4 linked regions of the Rhinolophus ferrumequinum genome follow. The protein of the gene in region 1 interacts with the protein of each later gene in a biochemical or structural test. Links are inferred from orthologs where the notes say so. Each region holds a gene or a part of one and is shown on either strand. Other genes may lie near its edges. The genes, in order: PLCG1, SOS1, LCP2 and LAT.

The links.
Region 2: the proteins of PLCG1 (region 1) and SOS1 form a complex in vitro, tested with the Homo sapiens proteins (2 studies listed by BioGRID and IntAct, with this or other methods). The link is inferred for Rhinolophus ferrumequinum from reciprocal best matches to the Homo sapiens genes PLCG1 and SOS1.
Region 3: the proteins of PLCG1 (region 1) and LCP2 form a complex in vitro, tested with the Homo sapiens proteins (2 studies listed by BioGRID). The link is inferred for Rhinolophus ferrumequinum from reciprocal best matches to the Homo sapiens genes PLCG1 and LCP2.
Region 4: the proteins of PLCG1 (region 1) and LAT form a complex in vitro, tested with the Homo sapiens proteins (2 studies listed by BioGRID and IntAct, with this or other methods). The link is inferred for Rhinolophus ferrumequinum from reciprocal best matches to the Homo sapiens genes PLCG1 and LAT.

The regions. Positions count from the first base shown.
Region 1 is NC_046306.1:15,662,957-15,670,680, reverse strand, and holds the start of PLCG1 (1-phosphatidylinositol 4,5-bisphosphate phosphodiesterase gamma-1), read left to right. Parts: upstream 1-4,721; 5' UTR 4,722-4,857; intron 4,858-5,246; 5' UTR 5,247-5,360; coding exon 5,361-5,577; intron 5,578-7,724. UniProt on the Homo sapiens protein: Mediates the production of the second messenger molecules diacylglycerol (DAG) and inositol 1,4,5-trisphosphate (IP3). Plays an important role in the regulation of intracellular signaling cascades.
Region 2 is NC_046296.1:44,779,839-44,787,021, reverse strand, and holds the start of SOS1 (son of sevenless homolog 1), read right to left. Parts: upstream 3,005-7,183; 5' UTR 2,770-3,004; coding exon 2,683-2,769; intron 1-2,682.
Region 3 is NC_046307.1:36,963,473-36,971,345, forward strand, and holds the start of LCP2 (lymphocyte cytosolic protein 2), read right to left. Parts: upstream 3,009-7,873; 5' UTR 2,758-3,008; coding exon 2,680-2,757; intron 1-2,679. UniProt on the Homo sapiens protein: Adapter protein primarily involved in signaling pathways within T-cells, as well as other immune cells such as platelets, mast cells, and natural killer (NK) cells.
Region 4 is NW_022680357.1:1,328,940-1,335,868, reverse strand, and holds the start of LAT (linker for activation of T-cells family member 1), read right to left. Parts: upstream 3,004-6,929; 5' UTR 2,878-3,003; intron 2,705-2,877; 5' UTR 2,364-2,704; coding exon 2,261-2,363; intron 2,069-2,260; coding exon 2,041-2,068; intron 1,946-2,040; coding exon 1,911-1,945; intron 1,672-1,910; coding exon 1,584-1,671; intron 1,453-1,583; coding exon 1,388-1,452; intron 1,294-1,387; coding exon 1,119-1,293; intron 1,049-1,118; coding exon 954-1,048; intron 1-953. Other genes in the region: SPNS1 (protein spinster homolog 1), read right to left, coding at 3,437-3,531, 3,798-3,969, 4,291-4,389, 4,635-4,700, 5,038-5,227, 5,514-5,669, 5,900-6,045, 6,794-6,860. UniProt on the Homo sapiens protein: Required for TCR (T-cell antigen receptor)- and pre-TCR-mediated signaling, both in mature T-cells and during their development.

The sequences.
Region 1 (7,724 bases):
TTTCAGTCAAGCAAGTGTCCATATGAGAAACTTCTTGTATAATTTATCCCCAGGAAAATTTTTCTCCCCTATGTTGTCAGTTATCAGAGTAGTTTTTGCTTTGGCTACCAGGAAGCTCAGCTACATTTGATGTTAACCCATATTAACCATATTATATTCCTTCTTTTATCATTGTATGTCCCATTTCTATATTACAGTATTTTTGTCCTTTGTTTTAAGTACCCTAAACTTTTTTTATAAAAGCTATTTTATTTTCATTAATTAATTAATTAATTTATTTTAAGGAGGGCACAGCTCACAGTGGCCCATGTGAGGATGGAACCAGCAACCTTGGTGTTACTAGCACCACGCTCTAACCAACTGAGCTAACCGGCCTAAACTTTTTTCAACGGATTGAAAAGAATACATTTGTGGTAAGCGTAGTGATGTGCCATCCAGGTTCCCCTTTAAGAAAGCACTTGTTGCCCCACTGCTGGGAAAGCTGTCAGTCCCCCAAGGTCACCTCAGCTGTGGAAAGCCATCTGGCCAAGGCTTGCTTTTCCCAGGACAGTCCACATCCAGTGGCTGATTGACGTGGGCTCCCTGGGGATTGGCCTGTGTCACAGCTTAACTTCCCTCTGTACCTCCTCCTGTTTCCGTCCTCTCCCTTCCAAGGGCACTCCCTAAGAACACATTCTGCACACTAACCTCTGTCAGAGTCTGCTTCCAAAACACCCCCAACCTTTGACAACATTAACCAAATAACTAAAAATAGAAAACATTAAGTAGGGGTATTATGGAAAGGGGTGAGGATACACAATAAAACGTTCATACCTGCATGAGAGGCAACATAGCATTGACTCTGGAGCCAGGGTGCTGAGGTTTGAATCCATCGCTGCTACCTCTTAGCTATATGTCCATGACCATGTCTTAATCTCTTCATGCCTCAGTTTTTCTCCTGTAAAATGGGGATAAGAACAATACTTTGGGCCAGTCCGGTGGCTCAGGTTGTTGGAGCTCTGTACTCCTAATACCTAGGTCGCTGGTTCGATTCCCACAAGGGCCGATTCCCAGCTGCGCCCTCTACAGCTAACATTGTGAATAACAGCTCTCCCTGGAGCTGGACTGCCATGAGCAGCCAGAGGTTGGCAGGAGCTGCTGCGGGCTGCTGTGTGCTGCCGTGGGCTACTGTGTGCTGCCGCAGGCTGCTGTGTGCTGCCAGGAGTGGCCGGTGGCCAGCATGAGTGGCCGGCAGCCATCATGAGCGGCCAGTAGCCATCATGAGCGGCCGGCAACCAGCGCGGGCTGTCATGAGCTGCTGTGAGGAGCCGACCCACGACCGGCAACCGACTGCCTCAGCCCTGGGGGAGCTCATAATACCAGCATGGGCCAGGGAGCTGCATCCTACACAACTAGACTGAGAAACAATGGCTTGAACCGGAGTTGGAGGGTAGGTGGAAGAAGGGGGAAAAGAAAAAAAGAACATACTTTCAGTGCTGTAATGAATAAATGAGCCTATGTGAGTAAAGCAGTTATGTAGGACTTACTTTATGCTAAGTGCTGTTCTAAGTGTTTGGTAAATAAACACCTGTGACGTCAGGCCCACAGGACCGGAGGGGCAACTGGGCTGGGACTCCTCCCCAGACTCCAGGCACAAGTATTAGGGTAGACCGGGCATGTGGAAGCATGAGTGTTGCTAGAAATAGGCCCAGGCAAGACTAGCCTGGGTGATGTCACAGACATGTGCCTTGTGTGGGTGCTGGGCTGCTCCCTCCTAGCCAGTGCAGCTGTACGCATTGCCAGTGACACCCACATACCCATATATATGCTGAGATGGGGGAAGCCCATCCCAGTCACGCCCTCTGTGTGCCCTGCTTTTCCTGAACATCCTTTGGTGGAGGGAGGCACCTGAGTCCTGGGATGCTGGCTCAGAAATCCCAGGAGGAAATGGGGCCCTGTTTCCTAATGAAGGGCCTGGCAGCAGACTGAAAATATGAGCTCGTGTTGGCAAGGATTTCTGGAGCTCCTGGGGGCCCAGCCTGAGAATCAAAAACGCAAGCAAAAGCAAGGAAGCATGGGCTGCATGTTGGGAAGCTCTCAGAAAATAGCAAAACAGATTTTAAAAGTGCATCACAGCCCGCAGGCTGCCCAAGTTGGCACAAGAAGCTCAAGGAAGGCTATAGGAGTTGGGAGGGGCCCTCCTAGAAAAATGGACAAGATCAGAAAGGCAGGGAGGAGCCCCATTCAGGCCCCACCGGTCTTCCTGGCCTCATTACCCCACATGTTCCACTGCACTAGATAAACGCTAGCCTTCTTTCTATTCCTAAACTCGCGAAGCTCTTTCCAGCCTCAGGGCCTTTGTACGTGCTGTTACCTCTGTCTGGAAAGCACTTTCCTTTCCTTCAACCCACCCTTAATAATTCACCTGGCCATCTACTCACATCCTTTAGGCCTCTGTTGAGTCTTAAAGAGGTCTTCCTTGTCTACTAGATCTGAAGTAGGGCTCTCTAATGTTTTATCTCATAGCCCTCAGTTCTTTCCCTCTGTAGACCTCATCACAATTGTGCCTACATAAGAGAGTGTTTATCTGTTTAATGTCTGTGAATTCTTGGAGGGCCGGTGCAGGGTTTCTCTTGTTCTTCCAAACCATGGCACCAATGCCTAGCACAGGGAAGCTCAGGAGCTGTAGACAGAGGCAGCACCATTTTAAGCCCAAGCCACACTTTATGAGCGTTTGTGTTTTCTGAGTTCCCTGTGCTCAGGGCCACGCATGCCCAAGTCTTCCCCTCACCCATCCCAATTAGCCTCCATGCCCACTGACTGTTGTCCTACTTAAGGCAGTGGCTCTCTTGTGAGGCAGAAAATGCATGGAGTCAGACAGACTTGGGTTCAAATCCCCACTTTTTAGTTTTGTGACCTTGGGGCAAGTTATAGAACTTCTCTGAATCTGAGTTTCCTCGTAAGTAAATTAGGGAAAATAATCCCTGATTAGAAGGTAATTATGAGGATCAGGTGTGACCACATATGTAAGCATTGTATCTCTGGGCAAGTCATTAGATCAACTTTAGTTCCCTTCCATTTTAAAAGCCTGTCACTAGGTGGCAGTCCATCTCAGCCACTCCACCTCCGCTCAGGTGGCTGAAGCCTCCTAGGACAGGCGACTCAACTTCAGGCTGAATTCTCAGCTTCTTAGGGGCTGCACTTGAGAGGGAATCAAAACACACACAAAACACACACCACTACCGCAAGAGGCAGCCCCAGACACTAGTCACCACCCAGCTGGGTGGGTTGCCTGAGCACAAATTCCAGGAAGCCTGGATCTGTCTCTGGCATCAGCTGGGTGCTCCACTGGGCCTCTCACCTCTGAATTGCAGTAAGTTGCCCTGCTCTGCCTTGCTCGATATCTGTCTGACCGGTTCCACTGTGACCACAGGTGTCTTCGGTGTTGGCGGTTCTTTGTGACAGGCAGCTAGATTGCAGGGATGAGTCTAGAGAATGGCTTCAGGAAGGCAAAAGAGTGTGCATTATTCACATACCGGCATATCTCAGAGATATTACAGGTTCAGTTCCAGATCACCATAATAAAGCTCGTATTGTGATAAAGGGAGCTGTAATCTTTTTGCAAGTGGGGGGTCTTGCCTTCAGTTTGTTAAAGACAACACCTGTGAAGCCCAACAAATGAGGCACACTAAAACAGTCAGCCTGTAACCACAAAAAGGCTTTGTGGCTGGAGAATGGGGCGTGAAGGGGAGGTGGTGAGAGATGAAGTAGAAGAGAAAGGGGCCAGACCATACGGGACCTGTTGGGCCAGGTAGGGAGTGTGGATTTTATGTGCAATGGAAAATCATGGAGGCTTTGAGGCTGGAGGTAGGGGACCATGATGTAATTTAATTTTAAAGATTAAAGCATGGAGAATAGATGCAGGCAAGAGCAAGGAGGGTAAATAGTCTGAGTGAGAAAAGATGGGCCTTGGGCTTGTGGATGGAGTGGCGATATCTGAGGGCAGAGTGAACTGGATCTGATGGATTACTGTGTGTGTGGGATTGAGGCAGAGAGGAATCAAGAATATCTCCAAGGGTTTTGGCCCAAGCACCTTAGCATTTAGTGCCATGTTCTGAGAAAGTGAAGACGGTGGGAAGAGCAGTTTGAGGAAGAAGTGAAATGCCTGTGTTAAGTGTGGACGCGGAGTATGGAGAGAGTATGGACGGGATGCAGGAGAGAGACAGATTTGACGTTGCGGGTGCCTGGGTTGGGGGTGACAGGTCGCCTTGGGAACTGGCTCAGGACCCAGCAGAGAGGAAGAGAAGCTTCTGAGGCCTAAAGGCAGCAGCCAGAGAGGGAGGAGGGAAACAAGAGGAGTCGGGCTGTGAAAACCAAAGCTCAGGAGAGCATTTACAGGAGGGTCACCATGAGGTAGGACCTGAGACCACCTCCTGCCTTGTGGACACGGAGTGTGAGCTGAGGTGACAGAGACAAAGGCCACTGGGAGCTGTAGGTCTAAAGGCCCTGCAGGAGATGCTCAGATCTGGTGGGCTTCTCCAAGTTACAGGGCCCTCGAAGGCTACACTGGCCGCAGGAGCAGGACAGAGGTGGGTCTGCGGCCTGCGGGCCAGCCCTGCGCGGCCAGAGAGGAGGGGCGGGCTAGATCGTCTGTCCATCAGAGACCGCAGGCCAATCCGCAGACGGCCCCGCCCCCGCCCCTCCCCGGAGAGGGCGCGCAGAAGACCCGCCGCCGCCGCCGGTGTGAGGCGGCCCGGCCTGGCTCCCTCCGCCGGGCAGCCCGCCCAGGTAACTGGGTTTGGCTGGCGGGCCCGAGGGACGCTCCGCGCCCTCACCTCCCTACCCGGTTGCTGCGCGGGCGGTGCTCGGGGAGTAGGGGTGAGGAAAAAGCTACGACTGGGCCTGAGCGGGACAGTGGGCTGGGCGGCCGCCTGTGCGTGTGCGACTCACTGCGGGGCCGCCGAGCGGCTACCGCGCGTGACGGGGTCGACTGTGGCCACGCAGCTGTGTACGGGGTCGCGTGAGGAAGCTCTGCGGGACGGAGGAGTGGGGGCTTGACCGCGAGCGGCACGCGCGCTCCCGCCGCCATTGCGCCCCCGCCCGGGGCCTCGCCGGGGGTCGCGGGGCGCAGGCGCGGAGGGCGGCAGGCGGGGGTCCTCCCCACGGGCGCGCGGGCGTCTTTGTTCCCGGCGCGCGGACCGGGGCGGGGCCTGCAGGGCCGCCCCGCCCCCCGCTCAGGCCCCGCCCCGCCCCGTCTCCGCCCGCAGGAGCCGCCGCCGGGGCCCGCTCGCCGGCAGCCTCAGCCGCCGCCGCTGCCGCCTGCTCCCACCAGCCGGGCCTGCATCGCTGTCGTAGCCTCTACCGCCCCCAGGACCGGAGCCATGGCAGGCGCTGCGTCCCCCTGCGCCAATGGCTGCGGGCCCGGCGCGCCCTCGGACGCCGAGGTGCTGCACCTTTGCCGCAGCCTCGAGGTGGGCACCGTCATGACTTTGTTCTACTCCAAGAAGTCGCAGCGGCCGGAGCGGAAGACCTTCCAGGTCAAGCTGGAGACTCGGCAGATCACGTGGAGCCGCGGCGCCGACAAGATCGAGGGGGCCAGTAAGTGCGACCCCTCCCCGGGGCCCGCTGCGCGCGCGGGGGCGGCAGAGATCCGCGCCCGCCTCCCGCGCGCCCGCGGCCGCCGAGCGACTTGGACAAACTTTCCGTCCCTCCCCACACCCTCCGGACCCCGCCCCCGCCTCGGTCCCGGTGGTCACCAGGGGCGGGGGGCATCCGGGTCCTCAGTCACCTGACAGGACACCCCCTCCCCCAGCTGGGGGGAGTGTTCTGGCGCTTTGCCCAGAGGCCTAAAAATTCTAGTGAGTTGGAGACCAGCGGGGCAGGCATCGGGTCTCCCACACACCGGGAGTGGTGTCCACAGAGGCGAGGGGAGGCAAGGCGGCGCCCCCCATCCAGCCCCTGAACCTGGGGTGAGACCAGATGGTCGCCGCTCACCACCTTTTCTCCAAAAAGAGCAGTCTTGGTGAAACTCTTTGGGCCCCTAGGCTGGGCTTTTATTTGCAAAAGAACCTTTGGGTTCTTTGAGTAGAACTTAGGCAGATGTTGGAGTAGGGCTGGTTTTGGAGCCGAGCCGGGCCTACTCATCTCCCTCTTGGGGAGGAGGAAGGTGGTCTTGTTTGGTTTGGAAAAGCCTGAGAGAAGGCAGTGGCTGCTTTTTCCTACTGCTGCTTTTGTCCTGAAGCTGAATATTGGAGGTCTGTGTGGGTGAGCAGACACCCAAAGCCAGGGCAGGGACTCTTGGTAAAGATCCAGGCTCCCCTTTCCCTTGGAAGCTCAGTCTCAACTACTTGACCCCAGAAAGGCCAGCCTCAGTGCCTTGGAGTCAGATACTCTTTTCATGAGCGGGCAGCCAGTTTGGGGTCTAGCCCTTTATGTCCTGTGGCTGTAGGGAGCCAGGAGCTACTACTCTTGATTTCTTACCTTTGTGCTCTCCCGGGCCTGAGCATGGCAGCTTTTGTGCAGGTCTGAGTTGGGAGGAGGGAGTTGGGGATTTTTAAAAAAACCCAGATCTCTCAGTGTTATTCCACTTAGCACATGCCTGTGCTGTGGCCGGATGGGCACCCAGCTCTGCCCTGCGTTCCCCCCCCCCCCCCCCCCCCCCCCCCCCCCGCCTCCAAGTGTGAGAGATGATGTGTCACAACCCCAGGCTGTGGGTTGCTTCCTGCAAGGACCGCCCCCCCCACCCCCTCCAGAGACAGGTGTCAGAGCCAGGCTCAGAACTCGGTCCATGTATAGGAGGGTGGTCGGGAACTGACACCCCCAAGGGAAGGTCCTACAGACTTCCTTGAACATGCTGTATATGCATGTAGATGGGTGAGGAGATTGGGAGGAAGGAAGGCCTTGTGGTAAGGCAGCCATCCTCAACTGCAAACTCCAGATCTGACACAGCTGCTGACCTTAGAAATGGCAGCTGTCTTCCTCCATCTCCATGCCCCCATTGGCCCTGTCAGCCATTGCGAGAAAATGTTAGTGATTTGAGAGACTGGATTTCAAAGTGGAGGAAGTACAGACACTGCAGAAAGCTGAGATAGTCTTGGGAACGTCACCCACATATCAGAGTCCAGACACAGCCCCTCTCTTGCTTCTGTGGTGATCCCTATGCTGTGCCTAAATGGGGTCCCTGGCTGGAGGTTCCCAGATAGAGAGCTCCTGGGTAACAACAGGCTGCATTTCAAACCACGCATGTAACCAGCAGGTAATAAGTGCAGCCCAGGGGTTGAAGGCAAGGCTCGATTTGAGGCCTGTATATTAGTTGTGTGTCCCCAGTCAGTTCCTTATCTTCTCCTGTCCTTACTTTTCATCTGTAAAGTAGGAATAATAACATATCCGCTATATGTGGTTGCTCAGGGGAGTAAATGAGAAAATTGATGTGAAAACATCTAGCACAGTGCCTGACACATGATCAATGCTTAGTAAATGTGAGCTGTTGTTAATAATGACAATAACAGATTATGACTGCCCTGCTAGACCCTGGACTGTGAATATTGTGCAGGGGGAGTGTGGGTGTAGGAGAGTCTGAGAGTGCAGGAAGGGAGGAGGATGGCAACTGAGTTCACATTTCACTTAGATCACTACCCGGAAAAGGGTAGGAAAGGGGGTTTTTTTGCCCCAACCCATCTACCTACCCACCCACCTACCATGTAGAATAGTGTGTAGAGTAAATATATGGAGATTTGCACATCTGA
Region 2 (7,183 bases), on another chromosome or scaffold:
TAGGCCAGGCAAAGGGCAGTCCAGGTGAAAATAACAGGATCTCCACAGAGCTTCAGGTAAGATAACACAAGTTGGGCACATCGGCAAATAGTGCAATAAGTCTAAAGGAGGAGTTCAAGATACGGAGATATCCAAATTAAATGTCTACTGTGTTTCCCCAAAAAGAAGACCTAGCCAGACCACCAGCTCTAATGCGTCTTTTGGAGCAAAAATTAATATAAGACCCGGACTTATTTTACTATAATATGAGACCGGTTCTTATGTAATATTGATATTAATTTTTGCTCCAAAAGATGCATTAGAGCTGATGGTCCGGCTAGGTCTTCTTTTTGGGGAAACACAGCAGCAGGTAGATGAAAACGCAGGTTTTGAGCCACCCAAAGCATGTCCAGATATGAAATATATTTTTAACCTTGTTTTAGGTGGCTTAGAATCATCAATAGTAGATATTTTAAATAAGAATTGGAAGAACATGCTACACACCTGAAGCTGAAGTTAAATAGTATTGAATGTCAACTATAATTAAGTATATGTATACATATATTGCCACGGGATGTGGAGTACAGCATAGGGAATAGAGTCAATGGTATTGTAATAGCTGTATACGATGTCAGAGAGGTAGTAGATTGGGGGGACGGGGTTATCACTTTGTGAGGGGTGTAAATATCTAACTAGTACATTGTTTTGTACACCTGAAACTAATAATTAAAAAAAGAACTGGAAGAACCTCACCTATCAACTAGATTGTGTATCCTTCCACCTCCTCCCATCACTTCTGTCATACAAGGGCATTTCTGCTTAAAGTCAAAGCTGGTTTAGGTAAATAAGCAGAGGTCTGGTGGAGAGCTGTGGTAAACTGAAAATACTACATGCTGTCTAAAGAGGGCAGCTGCAGCACTTTACTGCCTTGCTGGAAAGCGGGCCCATGAGGGGAGAGCTACTCTTCAAGAAAAGCTCAAAATTCTGATTTTATGTAATATCTCCCATTTTTAAACATTGGCAACTAATTACATTAAAATTAAAACAACACGGTGCCAGCCAAACCAAATGCTTCTGTGGACAGATTTTAGCAAGGGCCACCAGTGTGGCAGAGTTGGACCTGGTCTGCCAACTCCTGCTCTTTTTACTGCTTCATAGTCCCCTCAATTGATAAGAGTATCTTGATGGTTCCCCTGGGACAGGCGTTGCTTGCTTCCAAACAAAATAGCCCCAAATTGATAGTGTTTTAGGAGGTTTTTTGTATTTTTTTTTTAACAATTTTTCTGTCTCCTCTCCACCTCGGTCAGGATACCAATCAGGTCTGGCATCACTGAGACCTCCTACTCACCTTCTATTACAAGCTAAGATGTAGCATGTAGGTAAAGCAAAAGGAAATACAGTGAGAGCCTGAAGAGATTTCTAATGAATAAAGCCTAATGAATATAAGGCAAATAGCATCTGTTTTTGGTTTTCTTTAAAACAGTATCACAGAGATGTGTGTGGCTAGTCAGATATCTAAGGAAAAAGGTCATTAACTTAGATCTGAAATATATGAGCAAATTCTGCTAACAAACCAAATAGTTTCCACTGTAAGATACCAAGAGGGGAAAAGGGAGAACAGGGCAAAAGGGAAAGTAAAAGTTGCTGGCCTTTGAGAAATATCAGACACCTTTCAAGAGACAGTTTTTAAAAGGATAAATGCTTAGAACAAAAGGTACACCCATAATCTGAACTCTCAGTAGGAGTAAAAATATTTTCACCAGATAACAAGAATCATTCTTTGAGCAACAAGAAACTGGGATTTAGAAACACTATTAAAAGAGAAAGCAATTTCTATATTTATAGAAAAAGTAAAAGGAAAACAAAAAAATACTCTGGTTGTTTCTAAGGTTCATTCAAGCACACCAGTTCCTGATGTTTTAATGTATTTAAGTCACAATGTTGCTTTAGAAGCTTTTAAAATGTAGCAACATTTCCTAATTACACTAAAACATTTAAAAAGTACAAGTCGTGGGGTATATAACGTTAGGTAACAATGTGGCAAACTTGAAGAAACACAGGAAGTTTAAAATTTCTGATCCACAAACCGAATGATAGTGCCAAAATTCTCAGATTTTGGAAAGAAAGAAAAAGAAAAGAAAAAAGAGTGGCTTGCACACCCGCGCCTGTTAATGGGAGGAATGGAGGAATTCGGGGGAATGAAGAGTGATTACAGAGGGCGAGCAAAGCAGGCCATATTCCTGCTGGCAGGCGAGCGCTGCAATTACTTAGAGCAAGCATTATGGCCAGAGCATATCGAGCCCACTGAAACGGGCAGACTGGACACCTAAAACCGGAGGCTGACAGCGGGTCTGGGTAAGACCAAGAAGCCGGAAAAGTGGCCTGCTTTGACCTCCGCTGAGACCTGAGGCTGCTCCAACTCTGGTGAGAGAATCAGGGGCAGGACCTTAAGCTGTCAGGGACTGGATGATTTGGACAAACGCTCCCCGCTTTCCTGCGGCCTTCTCACACACGGAGTGAATGTCAACACCGACAGCCAGCGACTGCGGGGGAACCTCAGTGTGTGCCGTCCTTTCTGGGAGGCAGTGAGACCGGGAAGAAAGACGGCCCCGCGCGCGCCCCGCCTCCCCAAGCCTTGCCCAGCCGGGCCCGGCGCCCTCGCAGGGGCTGCAGCCGGGAAGCGGGGTCCCCTGCGCTCCTCACCTTTTTCAGCGCAGGCACCAGCAGCCCCCGCCACTTGGGCGCGTTCTCCTCGCTGAAAAACTCGTACGGCAGCTGCTGCGCCTGCATGGTGCCCCCGGGGCGCCCTGCACTGGGAGGGGGCGGCGGCGGCCGGGCCGGGAGCCGCGAGAGGGCGAGCTCGCAGCGCGGAGCAGGGCCGCGGCCCCACCGGACGGCCCGGCCCCCTCGGGGCGCCGCGCGGCCGGGCTAGCCTTGGAGAGAGGGCTGGGGGGCGAGGCCCGCGGCCGGCCACCCACCCGACACGGGCACCCGCCGCAGAGAGCGAACGCAGCCCAGAGGCGGTGGCGGCGGCATCCCGCACCACCGCCCAGGGGCCGGGCCCCCCCACCCCTCCCCGGCCCGCCGGCGCCGCCCCGGGCTGCCCTCTGCCGAGGCCGCCGCCCGCCCGCCTGCCGGGGCTGCGCTCCTGGGCCCGGCCTGGCCCCGCGGCGGAGCCGGCGGCTGGGGGAGGGCGTGTGGAGGGGCGCTCCGGCCGCGGCGACCGCTCAGCGCAGCGGAGACCGCCAAACGCGAGCGACCCCGGGCGGGGCGGAGCTGGGGCCGGGGTCTAGCGGGGGAGGGGAGAGGCCCGAGGTCGTTGTTGGGGAATCTGGCTGCCCTGAGGTGCCGCCGCGGCCGCCGCCGACGCGGGTGTAGCGCTGGGGCTTCCTACTAGCGAACTGAACCTGCTCGCTACTGAGCATGCGCCGCCGGACGGGGCCAGTTCGCTCCGGGTTTTCCGGCTCCCCAGCGAAGGAGGAGGGAAGCTCGAGAGAGGGAGGGCGCCCGGAGGGGCTGTAACTGCATCCCTGGAGCTGCAAGGGAGGAGCGATAGGGACCGGAGAAGTCGAACCCCGGCTACAGTGGGGCTTGTGGGGCGGGGGTGTGGGGGGTCCGGAGGGACAGGGGGCGAGCTACGGTGAAGTGGCCCCCATTGTGTGGTTGGGCCACGAGGGATCCCACCCCTCTCTTGGAGTCTGCCTTTCTCTTTTCGGAAAGGGGTGTGTATGTGTGTACTTTGTTCCCGAACATGAAGATAAGGACTGCCCAGAGCAGGCAATGTATAGTAAACAGACTGGACAAAAGATAGGTGCGTTCTCACGATACCTGCTGTTTGGTATTTGTCAGATAATAGAAGTGATCGCAGTGTTTCCAGTCGGCCTTTGCACATCAAGAATAAAATGTTTATGTGTAATACTGATTTTCTGTGTGTTTAAAATTCAATATGTTCATCTTTCAAACCCACTTCAAATAAAATTCAATATTTTCATATTTCAAACCCATTTCAAATATGAACTCCGATGACCGCTTAACTCCAGTGGAAATTAAAGACTTGTCTGCAGCTCCCAGATCCCACAACACTTCACGGTGGACATTTCGTTTATCTCTCCTGGGTCTTTCAGCGAGATACCAGACCCCTGGAAGGCAGATCTTTTTTCACCAGGGGCTCTATACAGAATAGGCACTTCGTGAATGTTTGGAGTGCTGAAGGAGCTTTACCTATAAATTGTCCCTCCATCCCAGGGATGCAGGTGTTTGTTTATAATAGTGGAACGGGTGTGGCTGGCGCGTTATGGCCTACCATTAAACACTTTTTTAACATAATCTCATTTAATCCTCATAGCATTTCTAGTTTTCATTTCACAGGTGAGAAGACCACTTAGAGAACTAGCCTGGGTTGAAGTTGACATTGTACCCTGCTACTCCAGAGAACAATAATCAGGACCACAGAGATGAGAAATGTTTAAGTGGTGGTTTTGAGAATCTCATAAAAGCCTTAGGTCCTTTCCTTTAAAAATGTACACACCTGATTTACATGAAAAATTCTCCACATTTTCAGTGTTCAGAGTGACGTTTTGAAAGTCATTCATAAATCTTCTGGATAAAATGAAGTAGAACCATAGCTTCCAGAGGTGTTGGGGGCAAGAAAGGAAAACATATCAGCCATGCTCAAATATCTAAAGGACTGATATGGAAAAACATAGGATATGTGATATGGTTTGTGTGGTTCTAAACAGCTGAACTAAGATCAAATCTCTGCCCCACGTTATTCTTTGGTTTCCCATTGTTCTCTTCCAACTTCTTACCGTGGCCCATAAAGCCTGCGTCTGGTTCCTGTTTGCATTCTCAACCTTGCCTCCCCTCTGGCCACACTGGTCTTCTGTCTTCCTAGAAAACAGCAACCTCTTTCCTGCCTCAAGGGCTTTGCTCTTTTCTCGGCTTGGAACTTATTCTGCTCCTAACTGTTCGCTTGGCTGGTTATAAATGTCAGCACCTCCAAGAGGCCTTGTCTAATAATGCTGAGCAGTTCCCACCTATGTTTCTACCATAAGCCTTGTTTATTTCTTTGCTAACATAAATCACAGCCTTTAATTATTTTCAGTTGTTGATCTATCCCAACTAGAATAGAATGTAAACTCCAAGAGATCAACAATCGTTTGTTTCACTCTAGTTCCTCATTGTATCCCCAGAACCTACAGTACTTGACTCACAGTTGGTGCTCAATAAATAATTTTGAAGGAATGAAAGTTGAATGTAGGAAACTTCCAGGAAGGTTACCTAATCAGAGTTGTCCTAGGAAACGGACGATCTTTGGGGGTGCAAGTAAAAACCATACATTCACTCGCTCGGGACATAGGGGAGGGTTAAGAGGTTGCACTTGATGACCTGCAAGGTCCCCTTCAACTCCGAGTCTCTGCTATGATTGCAGAGGTAAAACATGCCTAGAAACATGGATTACAGCCTGTGCTGGGGCGGCCGGGGCAGGTTTTCACTAGTATGAACGTTTGGGCCGCAGATTGAGAGCAAGCAGCTGAAGGAATATTGCAGAGAAGCGACTCAGCACCTCTCAGCTGAGAGCCTAAGGGATGCGGTGCTGGGCTCGGCGCCGCTAAGGTTAGGGAGCGATCGAGCCCCTCTGCGCTGTTTGCCTATATCTCTTGGGACAAATCAAAACATCTATGAGTGTGCAGTGACAGAAGATAACCGTGAACATGCTAATGCAGGCGCAAAGCCTTGGAGGCCGGTCAGCAAGAGCCACCGACTGCGGCCCGGCGCAGGCGCAAAGGTGCTCTTCGCGCCCCTCGGCCCTAACAGGCCCTGAATCAAAGCGGACGTGACGCAGGGCGCGGGCCCAGGCGGCCTAGCCGAGGCCCGAGGGGGCGTGTCCAGGAGGGATAAGACGAGTTCCGAGCGCGTCGCGTCGAAGCCCGAGCAGCAGGGAAGGGGGCGGGGGAGGGCGTTGCGCCAGGCGGCGCGCCCCCTGCAGGTGGGAGTGCAGCACTCAGCTCCTTTCCCAGCGCCGCAGTGGGACGCAGTCACAATTACCTTTCTGAAGCAAATTTCAGAGCCAGTTACTCTCCTATTCAAGAGCCTCCACTGCCATCCAGGGATAAAGTCTAAAGTCCTTGGCTTGGCATTCACGGTCTTGCACAATCGGGCCACTACTTATCTTTCCTGCAATATCTCTCACTTAAAATGAACTACTGTTGCCTCCTACAAACCCATCATTTCTGTCTCTCCTTCCTGTCTATCCTGTTCCGTCTGCCTGGAATGCCCATAACCATTTTTCTTCAATCCCACCCGCCACAGCTTCAACCCACCACCCATGTACACGCTCATCGTGGAACTCATCCACGCTGTCGCTCCAGCTCAAATGCCACCTTCTCTCTGAAGTCTTTCTCATCTCCCATTTAGGATTCCTACCCCTTAAACTTCAGAGCACAACAAGCATAGAAACAGCCGTTTCAGCCATCAGCAAAGTTAAGGTCCTTTCTCTTCAAGCAGCATATCCTCCCTTCATGCTTCTCACACTTTCTTCTCAAATTCCTGCTTTCAATTCCACTTCTCCAAATAGTATGTACATAGACAGTACGCCAGAGAAAGTAGTGGTGATAAAACCATTGAATACAACCTCTTATCACCTTTAGTTAACACTTTGATTCCCTCCCTCTCTCCCTCTTCCTGTCTCTCTCTCTGTCTCTGTCTCTGTCTCTCTCTGTCTCTCTCTCTCTGTCTCTGTCTCTGTCTCTCTCTCTCTCCTCTCGATGGTGGGGAGCAAGGTAAGTACAGTTAGAAGAAATGATTAAAAAGCTCTCCAAGATATATGGGATTATTCCTAGCACTTTTTTCCAGGATCCCTACAGAGTCGTTTTTTGCAAAAGTTCAGTTGATTCAAGCTGTAACGGCCCCTCAAACTAACTGCACACAAATCCTATGCAACTTTAATCAAATTACCAATGGTTTGTCATGGAACTTGATAAACTGGTCTAAAATATATATGGAAGAGCAAAAAAAAAAACCTAGTTCTTCTGTAAAAGAACAAGGTAAGGGAACTTGACTTACCAGATATGAAGACTTATTACATAGCTAGAGTAATTAAACAATGTGGTATCAGACAAACAAATCAATAGATCAATAAAGAGCCAAATATATAGAAACTTGATTTATGACAACAGGCGTTGCAGATGAGTGGGGAAAGGAT
Region 3 (7,873 bases), on another chromosome or scaffold:
GGCATCTTTATCAGACGTATCTCTGATTTTGCAGCGTGCCAACTTCAACTCTAAATAGACAGATAGCCTGGCAGACTGGAACTTGCCTGGAAGTTCGTTGTGATTCACGGCCTGGGGGGTAGCGTCTATATTTTTAGCAAATACTTTGATGATTCTTATGAGCACCCAGCTTTGGTTGGCACTGGTCTAGAGCAGGTACCTCGGGTTGTAGAAGAGCCAACTGGGGCCCAGAGAGGGGAAGGGACTGGCCCCAAGTCACACAGTGAGTTGGGGACACAGCTGGGGGTAGAAGCCATGGCTCTGAGCCAGTGCCTTCTCCACTGCATAGCCTAGGAAAGCTGTCCTGCTAAGCCAAAGGGGATAGGAGGGCTTAAAGGAATATAAAACATGACTTCAGTCCTCAGGGGCTCACATTCCAGACACAAGATGAGCTAACGTATCTGAGATAGTAAGACACAAAGACCTGCCAGTCTGCCTGGGCACCCCAGCGAGGGTCCAGTGAACAGAGCAGGACAAAGGGAAGATTGAACATGAATTGCCCCCCTCTCTCTGCTGAATGCCTCACACCCACTATTTCCTTTAATTCCCCCAACAATCCCACGAGGTTAGTTACTATCACTATTTAACCGATGAGGAAGCTGAGGCACAGAGATGTCGAGTAACTAAAGGAAGGTCACCACACTAGCAGGTGGCAGAGCCAGGAGTGAAACTAAGATGTGTCTGACTCCAGAGCTGGCTGGGGAGGTGTCTCCAAGGAAGGCCTGACCCCACTGCTTCCTTAGAAACTGGACTTGACAATCAATCCTGTAACTAGGGCATCGGGTGGCTAGGGTCCATCCCCAAGTGATCCGTTCGTGCTGGTTCAATCGGTACGTTCTCTCTGAGGACTCAGGTGCTCAGGATTTGGAGGGTGTCTCTCTGAGTCCTGGAGGCTGGGACTTCCCAGATCACAGATGCACCTCCGTTTCCTTCTTCCTCTCCCCTGTTCTTTTATGCTGAGAGCAGTAACCTGTCCTGGTGCTACAAATTTGTCCCAGAGTCTGGGATTTCCAAGAAGAAAGCTCTCTCTCAGGCAGAGGCCATGCTCCCTGAATCATCCCTAACCCATAGTTCATCTCCCTGTGCCAAGGGGGACATTCGTTACCCAGGGATTCGCTTGTTGGACTGGGTTGTGCCATTCTCCTTCTCACATTGGAGATGGGGACTGTCTGTGCCTCTCAGTCTGTCCCCGGGTTTCCCTCCCTAATTCTTCTCTTCTTTCTTTATTGAGTTAACGTGCCCCTTGACAGCATTTTGGCAAATTTCACCTTGTGCCTTAGTTTATTTGATCTACATTTAAGATAAGTATGTAGAGACATCCTTCAAAAGTCAGTTGTTCAATCTTAACACCCACCATGTCAAAAGTTTATTATGACCTTTGAGAGGGAATAAGAACAGAAATGAGATGCACACAAAGCAGCCAATAACAGGCTCTGTCGGCTGTCCCTCTATCATGTCATTCAACATTTTCATACTTTTCTTCTTTAGCTTGGGGAAGAATAGTTGTGATAGTCAATTTCTTGGTACCCTATAGACCCCAGGTTTGGCTCGGTGTCCTAAGGAGAGTATTCCACCCCCAGAAAAAAACAGAAAGTTGAGTTAGATCTCTAAGCCTTGACTTTAACGTCTCCTCTTTATGACAGTCTGGAGTGTCAACTGAATTTACTGCCAGCCTTCAGGGATGGGGGTGTGAGAGAATCAAGTGTCCCTCACAGACTCTGTATCCCTTGGACAGGGACACAGGGTCCCTTACTGAGTCATGTAGCTTGGGATCTGCCCAAACAGATATATAAACTGTGGTCCCAGCAGCAGATGACCGAGCACAGGGATCCTTGAGCATCTCCACATCCGGAAGGCAGGACGGCAACATTCTGGCCTCAGCTCTGCCACAAGCTTAGCCTCTGACCCTGCCTGGCTAAGCCTCTTCCTCTGTAGGGAGCTCAGTTCCCCTGGCTATAACCTGGGCTCCTATCGGTTTTCTGACCTGCTTCACAAGACTCTCATAAAGCTTCAACGAGCCTCTGTCCCATATAAGGGCTTGAGACCCCGCTTTCAGGGTCATGAGCACTGACTGCCCAGCTGCCACCTCCCGCATTGCTCATCAGAGCCTTCTTCATCCCTCCTACCCTGCCTTTTCTTTCTCCTGCCTCCTGGACTCCATTTCTCCCTTTCTAGTAAGTAGCCTTGATCTCACGAGTAGTTCTAGCAATTCTGCAGCTCAGAGCATAGACTTTGAAACCAGACAGGCGTGACTGGAATCCTGCCTCAGTCACATGTAGTCCCTGGGGCTTTGGGCCATTTAACCTCACTGAGCTGATTTTGCAGCTGAGTCAAAGGAACAACAACACTGGAGAGTATTAAATGGGACAGAGCCTCGAGAGCACACACTCAAGCCCTGGCACATACTAGCTGCACATTCATTCGAGGGCCTCCCTTCTCCGCAGCTCTCACTACCACGAACGCTCAGGGGTGTAGGTGTATCTACATGGCACTCGCACAACTGGGGAGGTTGCTGCGAGGTTGGAAGTTCCATTGCTATCTTTTCCGCCTCTCCTGTGCGGCCTGGACTCCATCTTCAAGCCTCTGTCCAGCCCACCGAGGACATTGCCAGTCCCGCCACCAACAAAGAGCAAGGCTCACCTTCCTGAAATAGTCGGCGAGGCTCTCGGCATCCCAGGCCAGGACCTCTGAGCGGAAGGGCACATTCCGCAACGCCATGGCTGCTCTCCCAGGAGGAAGCTCAAAAGCTGAGTGTGGGCGCTGCACCCATGGACAGAGAACTTCAAATCGAGGGTGTGGAGGTGTCCTTGGCTCTTCCAATTCCCAGTTACTCTTTGGAACAGCCTCGTTGGAGCAAACGTCTTTTCTGCTGTAACCAGATCCCAGAAAGCAACGTCTTCCTCCGCGAACAAATATGGTCTCTTCTCAGAAAACGACTCAGCAAGTTTCCTTTACCACTTCCTCTGCTGGGCTCTAAATAAGTAAACAAGGAAGCTCAGCTCTGGGGACTGGAGAGACAGAGAGAGCGACAGGGTTGGTGATACCCTGCTGGTCCCAGCCACCCCAGCCGGGTGGGAGGGGTGACGAAGGGGACGTAGACTCTCCCGTGAGTCCAAGTAGGCTTCCATTAGAACTCTTGGCACCCATGTGTCCACACCACATTCCTGCTTGGCTGCGCCTTTGCTGATGAAAACCTATTTTGACAGTTGACCTAAAATATAGACAATTTCCCACATCAGTGCACTGCTGGGGGAGGAACATGGCCTTTTCATGCTTGCTAACCACCCCTCAGTCTCTCTCAAAGGGATAAAGTTGAGGTTCCTTCAGCTACCTCCTTAGAGGTCCTAGGAGAGGATTCTTCATGAGTGAGCTGGGTGGGCACCCAGGGCTGAGAGAGGGGCTGTGCCGGGCAGAACTGGGTGTAATTTCTGATATGAAGTCTCTGCCGTGTGCCAGCTTAGGCAAGGACGTATGATCTAGGACTCTCACTGAGTCAAGGGGAATTTCCAGATCTGTTAAAGAGGAAAACAGAAGGATTACTTCAAATGTACATAAAACGTAGATGCATTTAACTAGACAAACTTAAAGAAAAAGAATTAAAAGAAAAAAACAATAATTGCTATTGATGCTGCCATATATTCTGTTCACTGTTGTTTCCACCATACATTCTATCCAGAGCACATTTCCTGGCGTGGCCCTGAGACAGGAGATGGGCACCTGCTGTTTCCTCAGTCGGTTTCAGACTCCGTGTACTCCTCATAGTCTAAATGCCTTGTTAGCAGAGGTTGACTACAGTGGCTAAAAGCAGATGTATTTATGAGGTCTGACAATTATGTTTGTGAACTCGTCCTAGAAAAAGTGCTACGTACCTCATTACTGAACATCATTACAGTCACCTTCAAAGTACTCCCCTTGGGAAGCTATGCAACGATGCCAGCGCCTAGTCCACCTTTCAAAGCAATTTTGGAACTCTTTTTCTGGAATGGCCATCAGAGCTGTTGTGGTATTATCCTTGATGTTCTGAATGTCATCAAAATGTCTTCCTTTCAATATTTCCTTTACCTTTGGGTAGAAAAAGAAGTCATTGGGGGCCAGTTCAGGTGAGTAGGGAGGGTGTTCCAATAGTTATTTGTTTACTGGCTCAAAACTCCCTCACAGACAGTGCTGTGTGAGCTGGTGCATTGTCGTGATGCAAGAGCCATGAATTGTTGGCAAAAAGTTCAGCTCATTTTCATCTAACTTTTTCACGCAGCCTTTTCAGCACTTCCAACTAGTAAACTTGGTTAACTGTTTGTCCAGTTGGTACACATTTATAATGAATAATCCCTCCGATATCAAAAAGGTTAGCAACAAGTTCGTGAACTTAATTGTCAGACCTCGTAGGCACCATTGCCGCCTCTGAAGACAAGTTCACTGTTTCATCTCGTACTCCAGGCACGTACACATAGACGGCCATGGCTCTGATGCTTGAGGAAAGAACCCAGCTCTGTTGCATTTATTGAGTGATGCTGCATTGGTCCTGAGGTGGTGCCTTCCTGAGCTTTTTCGAGGGTAGCTTTGGCCATGTACCATGTCTGCCATTGTATGCATCAGCCTGTCGTTGCGAGTGTCAGTGAGATTGGCATTTCATCCCAGGCTGGGCTCCTTTACGGAGGTGGTCCATAAACTTAGCTGGTGTCATGCTCCCCCCCAGGGCACTAGGGGGGTCAGTGGAGGCAGCCCAGGCTGAGAACTCCTCACAGGGCCTGGACCTAAGCACGCTCTCTCATAACTGGCCATGCTCCACATGGCATGGGCCTACTCTTCAAAAGCCCGCCACTGCTGGGAGAGGTCACTTCACTTTCCAGTCACTAGAAGAGCAGCGAACAATAAAACACCATTTGAAAAAAAGGGAGACAGATAAATCACTTCCAAGTAGAATGATCAAAGAAGATGTCATGGAATTAGCTGTAATTTAAGCAAGGGGAAGATGGAGGGCATTCTGGACACACGCATGCACGTGCGCGTGTGTGTGTGTAATATGTTGGAGTGTACTTCATTAGCAAACAGAACACACCACACCTGTGGAAAGGAACATTCAAGATCATCCTGAAAAGTAGAAACAAAATTTTTAATGACATTCATTCCCATTGCCTACAGAAAAGCAGGCGTTAGAATTAAGGAATCGCTAAATATGAGGCTTTGAGGGAAGAATTATCCAGTACACACGGAGCCCATTTAGAAGAAAGACACAGCAGTTAAGAAACCTGGTGACAGCGATGACGACATGATCAGAATCATGGCAGATGCAACACATGGAGCCCTGCGTGTGCTCCAGGGAGGGACTGAGAACTGTTCACTAATTATCTCATTTCACTGTTGGCGCCATTGTGACTCCTACTTTACAGAAGGAAAAACTGAGGCTCAGAGAGGTGAAGCAACGTGCCCCCTTGCACCCGGCATGTGGGTTGTGCAGTTGGGTCTCGCCTGGACTCTCTCTGAGTTCAGAGCCCCTGTCCTTTACCTCTCTGTCACCTCAGGCTCTGAGATGTTACATAAATCGCCCAAGCTGGAGTAGGCATTCAAACCCAGCTGTGTCTCCAGAGCCTGTGCAATTTCCACTCTATCCGTCTGCCTTCCGCGAAGAGCCAGTGAGGCTGGCAGTCTGGACAAGTTAAGAAGACGATGCAGCCCTTTCCAGGAGGCAGGGCTTTGGTGACCCCGCCCCACAGGATCACAGGCCTGTTCCTCAGAAAAGGGCAGCTGTGCAGGCGAGAGCAGTTGACGCAAGGGGAAGCTGGTTGCCTGAGACCTGGAGCCTTTCCTCTTCCCCAGTCCTCGGTGATTTCCCAACGCTCACAAGTTTCACATTGCCTGTCTCTGCCTGTCTGGAGGGTTCTAGAAGCTCCTGTTGCAGGGCCAGTTAGCCCTGGGGAAGAGAGGGTCAGGACGCCAGGAGGACCAGGTAACCCTGTGCAGGCCAGCTCCTTGGCTCAGTCTCAGGCTCTATAACACGGGCAGTGACAATAGCAGCCTCTGGGTACAGCCCACAGCCGGGGGGAGGCTGCCGCAATGACGGTCAGGCCAACTTCCCACCGACCCCCTAGCGAGCATTGGTCTTGGCTTCGAGCATGAAGCAGAGTGGGAAACAGGTAAGAGGCAGAGATGTGAAGCCATGGCTCGGGTAGGACCCTCTCCCAGCACTCCCTCATGAAGGAGCAAATTGAAAGGTTAACAGAGGCCTTCTTAGGCTTTGTAATCTTTACCTCAAGGTTAGGAAGGGGTCAACTAGTCTCTGAACACAGTAAGGACTGCCTCATGGGAGTACCAGGAATGGGGTCACGGGATAGGAATCTGAAACGTGTATCCAACAGAGCCTGTGGACAAGAAAGGAACACTTGCAGGGAGTGATACGTCAGATTTTTCAATCTTAGGGACCAAAAGTGGATGTAGGAGCAGCACACTGCAACCTAGAGGGAGGTCACCCCGATATCCTCCCTGCCCCACCCCACCCCATCCAGACTTGAAGCTCCCTCCCTTTCCAGCTAACCCACAGCAGAGTAGGGGGGGAGATAACTGCCTTTTTCACAGCTAAATTTAGGGGTGAGAAAAAATAAGCAGGTCATTAACGGGGACTTGGGAGTCTCAGCCTCTGTGCGTGAGGGCGGAGGAAGGAATTGTTGCTTAGGGACCAGGAGAGAATGGAAAGTAGGGATTTTGGAGCGGAGAATGTGTTGGCCTTCTTAGGAGAGGTACCTAAGGAGTTAGCGGATGGGTGGGATGATGCGCTAGTTTGTATTTAATTTAGAAGGAGGGTGTTGGCTGGGGGAAGGAGAAGAGGTGGTAGAAAGTGGCCCAGAGAGGGTGCCATCCCTCATACGGGTTCATCCCAGCCTCACCTCCACCAACTTTTAATGGCTCGATGTATCACCTGAGGCTGAGGTGAACTGCTGTTGGTACTTTCTCTAGGGCCTGTGTGGGTTTGCTTGCAGAAGGAACGAGAACTGTAGCGGTCACCTTCACAGGGAGGGAATATTTTCCCCTCAGTTCTCTAAGGCTGGCAGTGGAAGCCCCTTCTGTGTGGACTCCTTTTGGATGGCAAATGGCTCAACCACACAGAAGGGTCAAGCGAGGAGAGCCAGGATGGGGTCCTAACTGTTCCCTTGGGCAGGGCAGCTTCACACACCTGGCAGCCATACACTGAGGCACAGAATTTAGTGACCCTGCCTCCGAATGGGTGTGCCAGGAGGGACAGGCCTGCCAAAGAGCATCCCCAGATGTGCAGGAGCCGTTCTCACCAGTACTGGTGGAGGCCACGGGGTGGGCAGTGGGGGAGGGGCGCTTGCAAGCCACACTGCGCTCTGTCCTGACCACTGCTCAGACCCTCCTCCCAGCCCAGACTGGACACCTCCCCCTTCCTGGGACATGCATGAGGAAAGCATGAACCAGACGCTGCATGCAAGGTGATGAGGAGCAATATTTTCCACTTCCTCAGAGCTGACAATTTCATTCTTTTAAAAAAAAAATACATATTTTTTCATCCTCTGTCTTCATCTTTCTCTGCTGTTTTAGCGGAGATACCTCAGAAGTTCAAAGGTGGGCGGGAGGAAGTGCTTATTTGGACTTCCTGTCAAGCTTCCCTTCCTTGTCTGCCCTATTTTTGATTTGGGCAGCCTATCCCCAGATAGCTGTGCTCAAAGGGAAATTCCCTAAGAGCCTGCAAGGGTGTGGGCAGGGGTCAGGAGAGGGAAATGCAGGCTTCTCAGGAAAGAGGAAAGAGGAAAACACCTTACCCCCTGCCCTTCCAGCAAGATGGAGAAGGGCAGATTGGGGGGAGGGGCAGGCTGGGTGCCAT
Region 4 (6,929 bases), on another chromosome or scaffold:
GTGTGAGGACTAAAGCAGTGAATATGAAGTGTTAAGTATTAAGCAGTAAGTGCTACCAAGCCTCTGTTAAATAAATAAACCCTACCGCCATCCAGAGGGGACAACCAAGGTACAGGAGGGGAAGGCCCAGGCTCAACAGCTCCTGGGAATTGAGGTTTAATATGCTAATACACGTAAAACTCTTAGTAGGGCATGGATTAGGCTCTCAATAATATCAGTTCTTTTATCATGACTCTGCCTCCTTGGCTCTTCTATGAGAGGTACCCAGTAAACACCACGAATGAATGAGTGAATGAATGAACGGAAATACTTGGACAAAGGGTCTGGAGCTCAGGAAAAGAGGCGACAAGTTGAGAATCTGGATGGCAAATGAAGCCAGGGTGTAGAAGTGAGGGGCACGTATATAGAGAGAGGAGAGTAACAGACACTGAAGAAAGCTTTTCACAGGCAGGATGAGACCAAAACGAAGGAAGAAAAACAGCTCAAAGGAAACAGACAATGCAGGAAGCAGAAAAGTTCCAAAACAACAAAAACAACAAAGACAGCCTATAATCAATTCCCTTCGAGATTTACAAGATGACTTTGCCCCCCCACCCCCATGAAACAAGAACAGGAAGCTATGAAAAAGGAACATTTGGGGATCGACAAAGAGTTTTCAGAGCCGCGACACAAAATAAAAAAAGAGAGTCAAGGAATAGCCCTGAAAGAAGAATAAAGTCAAGGAAATCTCGCAGACAATAAAAGGAAAACAAAAAAAGCCAGAGCGATAGGAAAGAGGAGAGAACAGGTAGGAAAATCAGAAGATTGGAGCAGGAAGTGCTCTCTCTGAAGGATGGCAATTGTATAGAGAGAAGAGAGAACGCAGAGGGGTCCAAGCTCCAAAGAAACAACCGGAGAGGAGAGCGTGGAGGGGCTGGCACCGAGAGGTGGGGGGCGGTCACAGTGGGACTCACTGGAGAAGGCGCTGTCTCGGAGGCCGGGGTTGCTGGGCACCGGAGCTGCTGGGACAGCGGTGCCAGTGGCCGGGGCCGTATCAGGAAGCACCTCCCTGAGGGGAAGTCAAGGGGCGAGTGAGCAAAGACCGGGGCTCGGCCCCCTCCCCCCTCCTGACCACTCACAAGTAGCCCTCGTTGTGATAATCTTCCTCGTCCTCGTCTTCATCGTCATCCTCACAGACGGGCTCTGTGGTAATGACACAGAGGTCAGCAGAGCCTGGGGCAGGCCCCCCGCCCCCAGCCAGGGCACCGAGGGTCCCTGACGCACCCTCGTTTTCATAGCTTGCCACACTGTTGGCTGCAGAGAGAGGGAGCGAGAGGGAGACTGAGTCAGCTGAGGCAGGGCCTCTCGTGTGCCCAGCCCCAGGCCCTGGGCCCCGCTCCACACGTACCGCCATCTGAGTCCTGCCGGGAAGATGGCATGCGGTGGGAACCCCCTGGGGGCTGTGGGGATCTCCTGGGAGTCAAAAGTAAGAGGTCATGCCTAGGTTGGGGCTCTGGGGCAACGGGGTTTGCAAAAGAGAAGGGGTCCCAACCCAAGGAGCTGAGCGGTAGAGAGAGGGGGTTGAAGGAGAAGGGGCCACTTACGGGATGGGGAGTAGGTCTGGCTGGCTCAGGGGTGGATAGGACGTAACAGGTGGGTAAGAAGTGGCTGGTGGCCAGGGGGCGAGCGTGGCTGAGGACACAGGATCAAGCTGAAGGAATGACTCTGGACATCATGCCCCTCCCGCCGTCGAGGCCCCGAAGGGCACACTAACACCCTGAAATTTCTGTACCCCGGCCAGGTCTGGGGGCACCCATCTCCCTCCCCACCCCAGCTTAGGTCAGGCACACACTTGCTCACATGTCAGGGCACTCACACGCCAGGGCACTCTCTTCCCTACCCCAGAAGGAAGGGACCCTCCATGTACTCACGAGGCCGTTTGATCATGATGCTACTTGGGGTCAAACTGGCAGGAAAGACAGAGCTCGGTAAGGGGCCGGGAGAGGCCCCAGGCCCAGGCCCAGCCTGGCAGTGGGTGTTAGGGGCCAAGGGCAGACTCACCTATCCGACGGTACACTGTCATATGAGTCTGCGGAAGAGAGGGCCAGTGAGGCAGGAAGAGGGGGTGACTGGGGACGGGATGATGGAGTCTGGGGCTCTCCATGTCCATGTGCAGGACAGAGTTCGGGACACTTCACGATGGCGTGAGGGATCGGGCAGGGGGGCGAGGACCCCTGTGGGTCCCTCCGAGCCTCTGGTCCCCCTGCCAGCGCCCACTCACCTGGCAGTTCTCGGCAACGCACACAGAGTGCCATCAGCAGCACAGCCAAGAGAGGCAGCAGCAGGGGGCCCAGCACCAAGGAGAGCAGGACGGCCGCCTCCATCTGCAGGAGAGCTGGGACCAGGCCTGGCTGCTGGCCGAACGCCCTCCAGGGCAGAGCTCCAGCAGGGGCAGAGCTGAGCTAGCAGGGGTGCCGGGCCCAGCACACCCGGCTAGGAGCCTGATGAGGGGGCAGCCGCACCCTCCTCGAGGGCTCCCCGGATCCCCTTGCCTCACTGGGCTGAGTGGGGGTCAGCGCTGGCTCTGGAAGACCCTGGATCCCAGGGTGGTCAGGCCAGGGCCTAGGCTGGAGTCTGGGGCACCAGCCACTGGTGTGGACCCCGCGCCCAGGCCTACCTGCCCCCCGGCTCCGCGCCTGCCTCTCCTCCGCGCCTGCCCGCCTGCCTGCGGCAGGAAGCTGTGGTGAGCACCGGGTGAGGGCAGGAAATCATCGGGCTCCTCAGCCGGCTGCACCCACCCCCTTCCCACCCCCACCCAGCCAGTGGGGACTGGGGGGAGGAGACCTGAGGAGCCACCCCCAGGTCCTCAAAAAGGGGCTGCTGGCCTCCAGGACGTACCAGTGGGAGAGAATGAGACAGCTGCAGGCCAGCCACGGACGCAGCACGGAGGGAGGCTGGCACCGGGAATTCGGAGGGGCACGGGGCAGTGCCCACCCCATCGCCCGAGCCAGCCGGCCAAGGGGCGGGCTCTCGGGAAGCAGGGGCGTGACTCATAGTCACACGGAGCCAGCTCACGCCACCCTCCGGTTCACCAGCCCAGAAGCCCCACACAACTGACCCAACAGCCCCCCAGGGCTGGAGAGGGGGCATCCCATACAGTCCTGAGATAGGAGGTCACCAGCACCCACAGAGACTCAAGCAGGCAGTTGGGGACTGGCTACAAATTTTATTCAGTTACAAATAGCACCGAGCCCCTGGGGCTGCTCCAGGGGAGAGGTGTCCCCTCCTGGACTCACAACGCCCCCCCCTTGGCCATCCATGTAGTGTATGGGAGCGGGAACACGGCCCAGTGCCCCTCCTGGAAGCGGGGCCAAGTCGGGGGTTTGGGCCCGGGCACCTCCGGGGGTGGGCCCGAGGCCTGCTGTGTTTGGTGTGCAGGTAGGCGAGGGACAGCCCTTCAGATGAGCACGCTGGACACGGGGACCCGGGTGGAACGGCCTCGCTGGGGCACCACAATGCGGTCATCTTCCGGGCCTGCCTCGCGCAACAGACCTGGTGGGGGAGGGGTCAGAGCCAGGGTTGGCTGGACAGACAGACACAAAGCCACTGTGGGACAGACAGTGGGAAACGCCTGGGGCCCCGGAGCTGTGGGCACGGCGGGACGTCAGCCTGTGGGCCAGGCAGACCCGAAGCTGGATGAGGGGAGAGCTGGGGTGTGAGGTGCCAGGGACGTGGGCTAGGCCACAGATGGGCTGGCGGATGACCAAACAAGCAGGCAGAACTGTGACCTAGGGCAAGGGGAGGGGGGCCCGACTGACCCTGCACGTGCAGCTGGGCCTGCCGGCGGTCGCCCTCAATGAAGATGGCAGTGCCCAGGAAGGCGGCTCCGCCCAGGGCCCCCACGAAGGCGCAGAGCATGAGGGAGAACTGCAGGGCCCGGAACTCGGACAAGAAGGAAGGGGGCCAGCTCCGGCGGAGGCGGTCGGACATCTGTGGGGAGACGAGGAGGAAAGCCAGCAGGGTCACGGGGAGGGCAGCGGGAAGAGGGAGGCTCAAACTCCAGAGAATGAAAGGGGGACCTGGAACCTCCGGGGAGAGGACCCCGGCCGCCCTGTGGAAACCTGCAAAGACAAAATCCTTCCCGTCTAGCGGAGGACCCAAGGTGACGGCTGCCTGGCATGGAAGACCCGGATCCCTCACTGGGGCCAAACCTTCCGGTTCAGCCCAGGCTCAGGCCACTGACCACCGGCCGGTGCCAGGAAGGCAGGGTGCCCCAACCCCCACCAGGCCCAGTGAAGGAGCAGTGCTCACCAGGCCAATGAGGTAGGGGCTCCCAGCGTCCCCCAGCAGGTGGGACAGCACGATCTGGAAAGCCTCGGCCGTGGAGCGCCTCGTAGGGATGACCACGTACTGGGAGGAGGGCAGGAGACAGCAGGCAAGGAAGGGGTCAAGGCTCCGCCGAGGCTGAGGTCACAGGTGTGATGGGGGAGGGCAGGGCAGGCCGGGACTACAGGCCCACCTGAGGCTGGACTCAGAAGCCAGTGTGGGGCGGGGGCTCGCGGAACGGACAAAGGCCACAATTCAAGGCAAGTGAGGCCTCCACTCCCTGCACCCACCAGCATCGGGCCCAATGCTGGACCGGCCCACCTACTCACCAGTAGAATATCAGCCACGATGGCCCAGTTCATGGACAGCAGTGTCTCCCCAATAAAGATGAAAATCTGGGGGACCAGAGGGTGGTGTGGGGGAGCGGGGATGATCTCATCACAAGAAGAGCAAACACGTGGAGGCCCATCTACTAACCCGTTTAATCCTCACAATACCCCCATGAGACAGAGCTATTCTTCCCATTTACACATCATGAACCTGAGCACAGAGATGTTAAGTCACTCGGCCCACGCCACACAGCTGGGAAGGGCAAGAGCTGATTCAGAACCAGGCCCTCCTGCTCCAAGCTGGTTCTGAACCACGGGGCTGGCTGAGCCCAGTCCTGCCCCAGCGCCCCATTCCTCCACCCTGAACCCCCAACACCCCTCTGGACACCTGCTGGCTACTCACGTAAGTGGCTACGATGCTGCCGCGGGCACAGGCGACAGACAGGAAGAGGAAGGGTGCAGAGCCCAGGAGGCCGGCCGCGCAGACCAGTGGGTCAGCCCGGGGGTTGCAGCGGCGGAGGCGACGGCTGATCTCCACCCCCAGGGACACACCCAGGACCCCCGTCAGGCAGGTGATGAGCCCAAAGACGAGGCTGGGGGAGGCGGGGGCACACGGGCTAGTCCATCTGCCTGCAACGCCTCCCCGCCTCACCCCAACAGCCTGGAGAGGAGGATGGTCCACCCCGGTCGCCCACACAACCCAGGCACCGCAGCCCACAGGTCACCAAGCTCCCGCCAGCTGTTTCCCAACCAGGACGCTGAGAGGAAGTAGCGAGTGGAGCTGGGATTCAGACTCTCCCTGTCTGAGCCTGGATTGTCCTCTGTCCCCTCCATCTCCTGCCACCTGCAGGCCACCCAGCCCAGTCCCCAGCTGGGTACCTGTCAGAGGACGAGCAGGAGTCTCCAGGAAGGCAGGGTGGGGTCTCCCCCAAGACCACACGGGAACGCAGCAAGAATGCAGGAGCCCAAAGAGCCAGGGAGCCCGTGACAAAGGCCACAGCCGTGAAGCCAAGGGAAGACAGGATGAAACTGGGGCTGCACAGATCGTTGAAAGGGAGGATGTCAGAGTCCACCGAGGTGTCAGAGGAGGGGACTCCGTTCTCCCCTCCTGGTGTATTTTAGTCAGGTCAGGGCACTGGGGGTGGAGGCCGCCCTGGGTCCCAAGGTCTGGGCCTGTAGTTCCTGCAGCTGCCACAGGGGGCAGTAGTGACTGCATTCCTGGCCCCAGGGAGGGCCAGCTTGGGCTGCGATGGAATTAAACTCACTTTCTGGCCAGAGCTCTCAGGTCTGCCCACCACGAGGTTGGGTGCAGGGGTGGGGAGTCTGAGTGGCGCTCCACAGCTCCCCTCGGCGGCTCCCGTACCACCAGGAATAGCAGCAGTACAGCCACCACTCCCAGACCTGGTGTCACCTGGGGAAAGAGTGGGCTTCAGGCCGAGCACGGGCGGACACCCTCACCTGTGGGGCTGGGAGAAAGGGAGGGTGTGTAAAGGCACCTCAGGCCCCAAGACCTCACACACCTGGGCTAATGCTGGCTCAAGGAAGCTGGCCTGCACCTGGGGGGAGGAGCAATGGCCACTAGGGCCACCCCCACTTCTGCATGCTTAACTGCTCCCTCTTTGGTAACAGCACCCTGATTTTCTTCTGGGAAACCACTCCCCCCGCTTCTCTCAATCCATGTGGTTCAAACGGGGCTCGGAACCCAGACTTGTCCAGCCTCAGTGACCAATTCAGTGGCAGACACGTGACCCATGCTCATCTAACCGGATACTATCCAGGACTCCTACGCAAGGACCCAGGGTGCCTTAAGTCTCTAACTGAGGAGATAAACGTGTGGAGCTTTCTCTCACTCGAGAATGAAGTGAACACAGAGGAAAGGGGAGCTAAGACAAGGATTACCCAGTTCCTGTGACGGTGGGAGTCCTGGATCAAGCTGTACCTGAAGCTCACCCTGGGACTTTCCATTATGACAGCCAGCCCTGTCCTACGTGGGGGCTTACACTTTCACAATGCGTTTCTGTCACCTGCAGCCAAGAGCTCTGTCTGGCACATGGTTTTGTGGGAAGGGAAGCGAGGCTTTCCACAGGCTTGGCAGAGGAAACACTGTTTTGAAAAGAGGTGCCGAGAGGTACCTACCCCCAGGTGGAGAACAGACTCACCCTCAGAGCCCAGTGCCAATCTCCAGCCATGTCCTTCACTTTGGAGCCTGCGATATAACCCAGACCACTGGCGGGGAGGGGTGGGAAAAGAGAGGGGACAGCCGGTCAGTCCTGCCCAGTGCCAAGCTCTTCTGAC